2 linked regions of the Oryzias latipes genome follow. Each later gene encodes a partner of the first gene's protein in a complex. Links are inferred from orthologs where the notes say so. Each region holds a gene or a part of one and is shown in the gene's direction. Other genes may lie near its edges. The genes, in order: syk and tyrobp.

What was found.
Region 2: the proteins of syk (region 1) and tyrobp are in contact, whole or in part, in a crystal structure (PDB 7Q5W), measured with the Homo sapiens proteins. The link is inferred for Oryzias latipes from reciprocal best matches to the Homo sapiens genes SYK and TYROBP. Residues at the interface, in NP_001167638.1 of Homo sapiens: Arg22, Arg42, Asn46, His62, His63, Tyr64, Thr65, Ile76, Ala77, Gly78, Gly79, His92, Asp97, Gly98, Leu99, Arg175, Arg195, Arg197, Lys212, Leu214, His215, Tyr216, Arg217, Ile228, Pro229, Glu230, Gly231, Lys232, His243, Lys247; in NP_003323.1 of Homo sapiens: Pro90, Tyr91, Gln92, Glu93, Leu94, Gln95, Arg98, Ser99, Asp100, Val101, Tyr102, Ser103, Asp104, Leu105, Asn106.

Annotation. Positions count from the first base shown.
Region 1 is NC_019870.2:27,556,644-27,561,081, reverse strand, and holds the start of syk (tyrosine-protein kinase SYK), read left to right. Parts: upstream 1-1,503; 5' UTR 1,504-1,670; intron 1,671-4,438. UniProt on the Homo sapiens protein: Non-receptor tyrosine kinase which mediates signal transduction downstream of a variety of transmembrane receptors including classical immunoreceptors like the B-cell receptor (BCR).
Region 2 is NC_019874.2:15,548,315-15,551,635, forward strand, and holds tyrobp (TYRO protein tyrosine kinase-binding protein), read left to right. Parts: upstream 1-1,476; 5' UTR 1,477-1,678; coding exon 1,679-1,724; intron 1,725-1,799; coding exon 1,800-1,817; intron 1,818-1,913; coding exon 1,914-2,057; intron 2,058-2,145; coding exon 2,146-2,213; intron 2,214-2,312; coding exon 2,313-2,369; 3' UTR 2,370-2,750; downstream 2,751-3,321. Other genes in the region: uncharacterized protein LOC101174619, read right to left, coding at 3,156-3,241. UniProt on the Homo sapiens protein: Adapter protein which non-covalently associates with activating receptors found on the surface of a variety of immune cells to mediate signaling and cell activation following ligand binding by the receptors.

The DNA of each region.
Region 1 (4,438 bases):
ACTAGTAAATATTCATTTATTTAGGTAACACAAAGAGCTGCAACATTTATATTTATTTGCTTTTACAATGAAAACTAAATACCGATTCTGTAGTAAAACATCAAACCAAGGAAATGCTGCTTCACTACGAAGGCATTGCTGCTCTCAATGGTGTCCACTAGATGGCACAACGGAGCGGGACATTGTTTCAAATCATTGACACATGCCATTCCACTGTTTAGAAGTGTCATGAGGTTCACCACGATCCATTTTCAATTCCAAGTAGACCCTAAACCTGGAGAACCAGCAACGCCACCCACGAGGAAAGGTTTTAAAGAAGGTCACACAAAAGGTCATTCAAGAGGCTTTCTCAATTCTGGAGAAAGCCTCTTGAATAAGGAGACAAACATCTTCGACTTAAAAGACTAAGACATGTGTCTTTACAGATCATCTGGACTTAGTCACTAAGAAGACTTGTTCTGCTATGGAACAATCGTGGATGAATGAGTCTTCACAGATGCATCTTTGACACACTTTGATTCTGTTGTCTGTTTTGTTTAAATCTTACCTTAACGTTTTTTTAACCATACCAGCAGAGTTTTCATCTTTTAAAAGTGAATGTTTTGTGTACATACAAGCAAAATATGTTTGTTTCTTTACTTGATTCTGTACTGACTCGTTTATGTTTTACATTTGGATTTTTTCCCCTACAGCATTACTTTATTATAAAAAAAAAATACAAAAAAATATTTAAAAAAGTAAAACAAATGATTAATCACTTATTGAAAATTGTTAAATTGATTGACTTTTAATGATATTACTTCACTTTCTCCAAAAATTGATTAATTGATTCAAAAGTCTTTCCTAATGTAGCATAATTTTGCACATGTTTTTAATTTTTGATACTTGATGAAATTTTCCTATGAAAATTCCTGAAACAGTGTAGTGTCTACTTTACTGATATAGTATTGTGCTTTATTCATATGAATGGCTTTTATAAGTAACATAATCTGCATATATTTCAGATGACTGATGTGCATTTGCCATGTTGATTTCTAAAATAGTTATTTTTGACGTAATACTTAAGTAATTCATCTTTGTCATGTGCTTTATCGATACCTTATGATTTTTAATTCTGTCTGATAAAAACTGGGAACCGGATATTGATAAATCATGTAATAAAATGGTTACAGTATAACGGGGTGGGATTATATAAGTTCGCTTCCTCCCACTCCCTTTCAAGCAATATTTATTAATATGTCTAATTATCCTAAGTTTGATTAGTTACTGTATGAATGTATAACTGATGATTATATTGCTGTTGTGTATTATTTCTACTTAATTGCTTGAAATAAACCATTTCAAATAAAAAAAAACAACAACATTTGGATGGCCAAGTCTGCTCCTCACTAATGTCATAGAAAAAGGGATTGATGTTCTCCTGATCCTGGACAGTCTTCCTCATTGACAGCAGTGCTGCCGCCTGCTGGCAGCACGCAGGAATGACGGGGATCTTGGTTTTTCGTGGGACAGGAACATTAAAAAACCGACGGGTGGGGTTCTGCATTAGAGGCTGCTCTCATGTTGTGCATGTCGGGTCGTGGAAAGCAGCGATGATGAGACGCTCGTGCCACCTTCATGATGAGACACGCGTGCACCTGCAGTCAACGTGGCGGAGCCCAAGGACTCAGGTGAGTGTCCCGTGAGGAGCGGTGGGTTTTGGAAGGAGCAGCAGAGTCCCGCTTTAAGTGGATCTTGACGTTGCTTGACATGGAGTCGTGTTTGTGGGCGCGCACCAAGCGGTTACAGAATCCCACAGATCACATGATCTGTGCGCGGTTCTCGCATGCGCTTCTGGGCCGTCGCCAACATCAAGATGGATCAAAGTCAATGGGAAACCACCGCGTGCTGAGGATGTGTGCGCGCGTGTCCTCTGCGGAACGAACTGCATCCTGCGTGACGCAAGAGGCGCAGGCATGTATCCTGGGTAATGACATGGAGCAAAGATGCAGCAGTGATGCAGTTAAATGGAGCAGAGAAGATGTGAACACGAGGCAGACATGCAGCAGAAGTGGAGCAGACATGCAGCAAAGGGGAAGCAGGCATGCAGCAGAAAGGGAGCAGACATGCAGAAAAGGTGAAGCAGGCATGCAGCAGAAAGGGAGCAGAACTGGAGCAGACATGCAGATCAAGTGTAGCAGACCAGTAGCAGAAGTAAAGCAGAGAAGCAGCTTTACTGCTAGGAGGAGACAGACATAAAGCAGAAGTTTATTTATTTAGTTGTTCATTTATTGTTATTTATTTATCAATCTTATCTTGTTTTATGAAGTTAAACTAGATTTTTAACGCGTTATTTTAATTTACCATGTTTCAATGTTTATTGCTTTTATCATTATGTTTACTCTTTCATTCTCATTTTTATTTTCACTTTTATTTCCGGTGCTTCCTCAGTTGGGCCCCCCCCCTCTGGGTCGGCTGCTGTTGAGCCGCTGCGGCTCTGGATGGGGACCTGCATCACCGCTTAGCTGTGGTGGAGCGGTCCCCGCCTGTGATGCTGCATTTGGCTGTCTATGCAGCTGTTCACAGAGAGGAAGGTTCCAATTATTAGCGTTTCCAACATCTTGTTTTCGTGCTCAGCCTATTTCTCATTGTCTTTCCCGATTAGGGGGTGGGATGTATGAAAGGAGTGGGGGGCTGTGTCTAGGTACGGGGAGGGGGCGCTATTTTTTTGTGCTTGTTAATTTTAATTTTCATGCTTGTTTTTAGATTATTTTGTTTTGTTTTAATGTAAAGCACTTTGTGTTATGCTTTTATATGAAACGTGCTTTATAAATAAAGTTTGTTAGCAAACATGGAGGCAAAGTGAAACAGACATGAAGCAGGATTGAAACTGACATGAAGCCCAATTGAAATAATGCTGCAAAGATAAAGAAAAGTTACAGAATATGCAGCAAAGATGGGGACCAGAAAGATGCAGCACTCAGTCACGTCTTTGAGGATCTGGAACAGTTGGAACAGGAAAGGTCCAAATCTCTAAACAGGTTTCTATAAAGTCTGGTGCATGTCGTTGATTGAATTATTATCAATATCAAATTGAATATATATGAATCTAGGACAGCATTTTCCAACCCTGGTCCTCGGGGAACACTGTCCTGCATATTTTCAAACCTTCCCCGCTCACAAACACACCTGCATTTGCTGATGGATCTTTGTTCCATGAACATGGATGGCAGGTCTTCCACGTGTGTAGTGTACAGCCTCAGGGTGTTGGATTTGGGATCCCATCAGGCTTTGTGGAAAGCTTTCTCATCCCAGTATGATCAAAGACATAGTTGGGTCTTGGGTTTTCCATTGATCTTCTCAGAACCTGGCTTACTTAAGTTTTTAAGCTGTGGCCGTTTTCCTGCTGGCCTCTCTATGGAAGCCCCCCCTCCAGAATATTAAAATCCTGTTTCTGTCTCGTGTCATACTTTCAAAACTCAAAACCTTTTTTGTCTTTGTTGACTTTTGAAGACACTTTTCTAGCCTAAATGTCTTTGTGGTGCCATTTTAAAATGTCCTTTTGGTGTCGTTCCTGAATTTCTTTGTGATGTTGTCCTTAAATGCCCTTGGTGTTGTTCCTCAATGTACTTCTGGTGCTGTTCCTGAAGGTCTTTATGGTGTCGTTCTTAAATGTCCTAATGGTGTGGATCTGAGTAAATGAATGGTGAAAATGAAAACTGAAAGCACCCAGCCATGTTTGATTGTCAATCAAAGACATAATGAGCAAAAAATGAGCTCTTAATTAAATTAAAATAGCTCATAAAAATGACAGTCGCCATGCATAACGAATAAAACAATAAAGGTGTTGACCGTGGACTGTACATATTTTAGTTCTAGTGAAAAATTGATGCAGTTAATGGGAAATTCTCCCCTTCTGCCAATGGCCCTAGTGGTCACTTATTGAACTGCATCATTTGGTAGTTCTATGTTTGCTTCAAATTCAAGAATGAAAGGTGGGAGTTTTGCTCCACCAATGAGAAGCTACTAGGCCAGGAGTAAATTAAAATAAAGCTGGACAACATCTCTCGTACAATCACAGTTCAGCTGTCTTTAAAGACTATGTGAGCTGATAAACGTTCCTGTTAAAGCCCAGTAAATGACACAAACTGATGTAAAGTTAAATAGAAAAAGTTCAGAGGCATCAGTCATCATTTAAAACTAAACTCTTCAGGCTAAAGGCCAACAGCATAGAAATCAAGTCATTGACGATGACTGTATATGAGAACTGGACTTAGTGACCCCCCCAGCCCCATATTCCAAACAGGAAGTACCCACTGAAAAGTAAATTAGATTGTTTGAGGGTCTTCACAGCACCATAACTTAACAGTTAGCTGGATCTTAAAAACGGCTTGGATCTGTCATTTGAACGTTTGGAACGTGTGATGTGGGGGTCAGCAGGCACCTCCTACTTTTATTG
Region 2 (3,321 bases), on another chromosome or scaffold:
GGTTTTTATAATTGCTTATTTCAGTTTTGTTTTTTGTTCTTTTTATGAAACAAATTTGTGCATGAGGTTAGTTGTGATTTAGGATATTTTTTAGAAAATGTCTGCCCAAATACTTTACTTATACTCTTTCAATAAGAGATTTGAAAAATTAAAGAAAAAACACATTTTATATATTGTGTGTTTACCTTTATTACTGTTTATAAAAAAATCCCATGTCTTTTGTTGAAATGTATCATTTTTGAAGTCCTTACAAAAATAAATTTTGTGTGTGTATCTTCTGCGTTGGGTCGTTATTTTAACTGTTATTGCTAAAATAGTTTATCATTTCTCTTTTGCAATATTCTTCCTAAAAGTTCTTTTTTTTCACATGGGGACTGAAGAAAACAACTTCTGGAGAATTGAAAATAAAAGTATTTAAGCATAAGGAACAAAAAAAGAAAGGTAACAAAATGAAAAAAGGAAGTTTTGAAAACAAAAACACGTAAGAAATGGTTTGACTGAAGGGGGTTTTAACTTTCATGTTTGTGTCAAACCACTTATATAGTCAAATCAAAAATGGTTTTCACTTTCTCAGTTTCATTAAGTTCTATTTCTATTTCAGATGAACAAAAACTTAAAAACGTGGCCTTGCCTTGAGGCACTGATTTGAAATGATACCAAATCTATGTGGGTGGATGACAGACGCTGACACCTAAAAAAACATGTAAAGGTCACTTCTAACTCTGTGGACTGAATTGGTGCACATCCTTTTGTTTCTGTAATTTCACTCAACTAACTCAGTTGTCCTTAAAAAAGTAACATGGTACATTTTTCTCATGAATAGAAACTAAGAAATGGCTTTTTTTTGCAGCCCCTTTGTGTTTAATTCCGGAAATTCCATGAAGTGACATAACTGGTATCACCAGTATTTGTTTACTGTTTTTTTCTTGGACATTAACCCCTTCATCCCCAGATTTATTTCCAATTTAAAAAAAAATAAGTTTCTGTGTTTTTTTCTGTTCAAAGTGATGCTAAATTAAGTTGAGTCCTGGATTTAATATATTGCAAATTAGCGACATATGGCATGAAGGGGTTAAAGTGTGAAAGTCTTTATTGTTGCTTCTTTCTGATGGACAAAAAAAGGTTTACTTTCGTTCTGCTGATAGACACAGTTCAATTTGTCTAAACGTGTGGTGAAAGGCCTGCAGATCAAGCGGCAGTAGCTATGGCCAAGTTTCTGTGCAAAACCACAGGTTCTGAGGAAACGCTCTATTCTGAGGTACCATCAACTTCAGCCAAAACTGCAAACTGGCAACACAGAACCCCGTCAGAAACCTTTTTTGCTTAATTTCATCAGAACAATTTGGTCAAACTGTCAAAAATGTGGCCCAAGTTCAAATGGTGACATTTTAGTTGTAAAAAATAATAACTGTGCAACGTCCATGTGGCATAAAAACAAAGCAGAAACACCTCCTCCCTCTTTTCACAGTGGACTCCTCCTTTCACTGTCATCCGGGAGGTTACCAAGCTTCCTGGTACTCACACCATATTGTCTGTGGACTGTCTCCTGTCTGTGGGCCCCTCTGTCTCCAGTTCACAGCCTCTTGTTCATGGGTGGAGGACAGTTGTTTGATAGTGAACAGAGGGACGTACAGCCCCCAGCTTCTCACTCTCATTTCCTGCCTTACTAAACCCCAACATGAAGACGATGCCCGAACACCTCTGTGTCGCAGGTTCCTTTTTTGGTAAGTGATGCATGATTAATTCTCGCTTTTATTCGTTTATTTTGTGTAAACAAAGATTTTGTTTTCATATTTCAGGCTCAGAGGAGACGCCAGGTATTTTAACTTTCTACACATTTTTGACTCAGTCGGAAGGAGATGTGGTGCTAAATTCAAACCCTGTGCTTTACGTGTCCCCCCCCCCCCCCCCAGGCTGTGATGGCTGCTATCTCATAAGCATGACGTCTTTGATCGCCGTAATTACTTCTGACATCATCCTGACCATCTTCATTATGATTTCTGTGTTCTGCTTTGCAACTCACCAAAGGAGAAGGAGAGAATGTGACTCCCTCCATGGTGAGCGCCCCTTAACTCTGCTTTTTTTCTGCAAGTGTGGGCACTTGCCAAAAGGGCTGTCATCTAACCGTTTCCCACCTGTATACAGGTAAAAAGAACTCATCTTTGCAAACTTCAAAGAAAGTGCCAACAGAAGTTGCAGAGTCTCCCTACCAGGTAACTAGAACCCCATAACCATCAATTATGAACTTTATTTGGGGATTTTTATGTTGCTGCAATCAATAACTGCTTTGCTTGCTATCATGTGATTTTTAGGAGTTACATGGAGTCCAGTCAGATGTGTACAGTGAGCTTCAACACTTTAGAAAATGACACTTTAAATGGAACAGACAACTCTAACATGAAGCTATAATGTAAAGCATAATGTTTGTGTGTGAACGTAAAGCAAACAGCAAATGATCCTGCATATATGTAGCTTTAGGTTATAATCCAGCACAATTGTAATGTAAATGCCTGTGATTTTAAAGCACTAATATAAAATACTGTATGTAAAAGTGGAATATTTATGTAAATGTTTGTATGCTTGAAAGGTTTTGTGAGTGTGTGTGTTGCTGCCTTTATTTTGAATAAGAATACATGTTTTAATTCTAGTTTGAAAACAGCATTTTATAGTGTGTTTCATTTTTAATGTATATTAACCAGTCATAGGAAGTCAACATTTCTGTTATTTTTATGTCTTTTATTGTTTAACGTTAAAAAAAAAAAAAAAGCTCTGAATGTGGATGAAGGAAAAAGAAAATTCCAGAGCGTCTGTATTAGGAAGCAGCCTGTCTGCGCCTGATGATTCAACAGATGATGGATACTGACTCATAGTGAGGGGAAAAAAGACCTGTGGGTAAAAAAATAAGGGGGACATTTATTGTTTAACATGCAGGCAGGATGGATCAACAAAAATAGAGACAATGGGAGATGTTACATTAAAGAATTTGAATTGAGAAACGGGTCATTCAGCTTCCTAAAACAGTTGTAGAAATCCCTTTTATGATGCAGAGAGAACACACCTCCATGTTTGAACAGCAGGCTGCTTAGCTGAAGGCTGGAAGAGCTGGGAAGCGGTCGGGCCCTTAAGCGCAAACAGAAAGAGAGAAGTGAGCATCACTAAGCGGTTGATGAGCAAAAAACTGAGGAAAAGGAACTCTCACCAATGGCAGCGTGTGTTTCCACGCTGGAGCATTCTCTGGTTTCTGTTTGGAAATTTGATGTACAGATCTGTTCACAGACTGCATTTGTTGTATAAGTAATGCTTTGTGGCATATCAAATGTA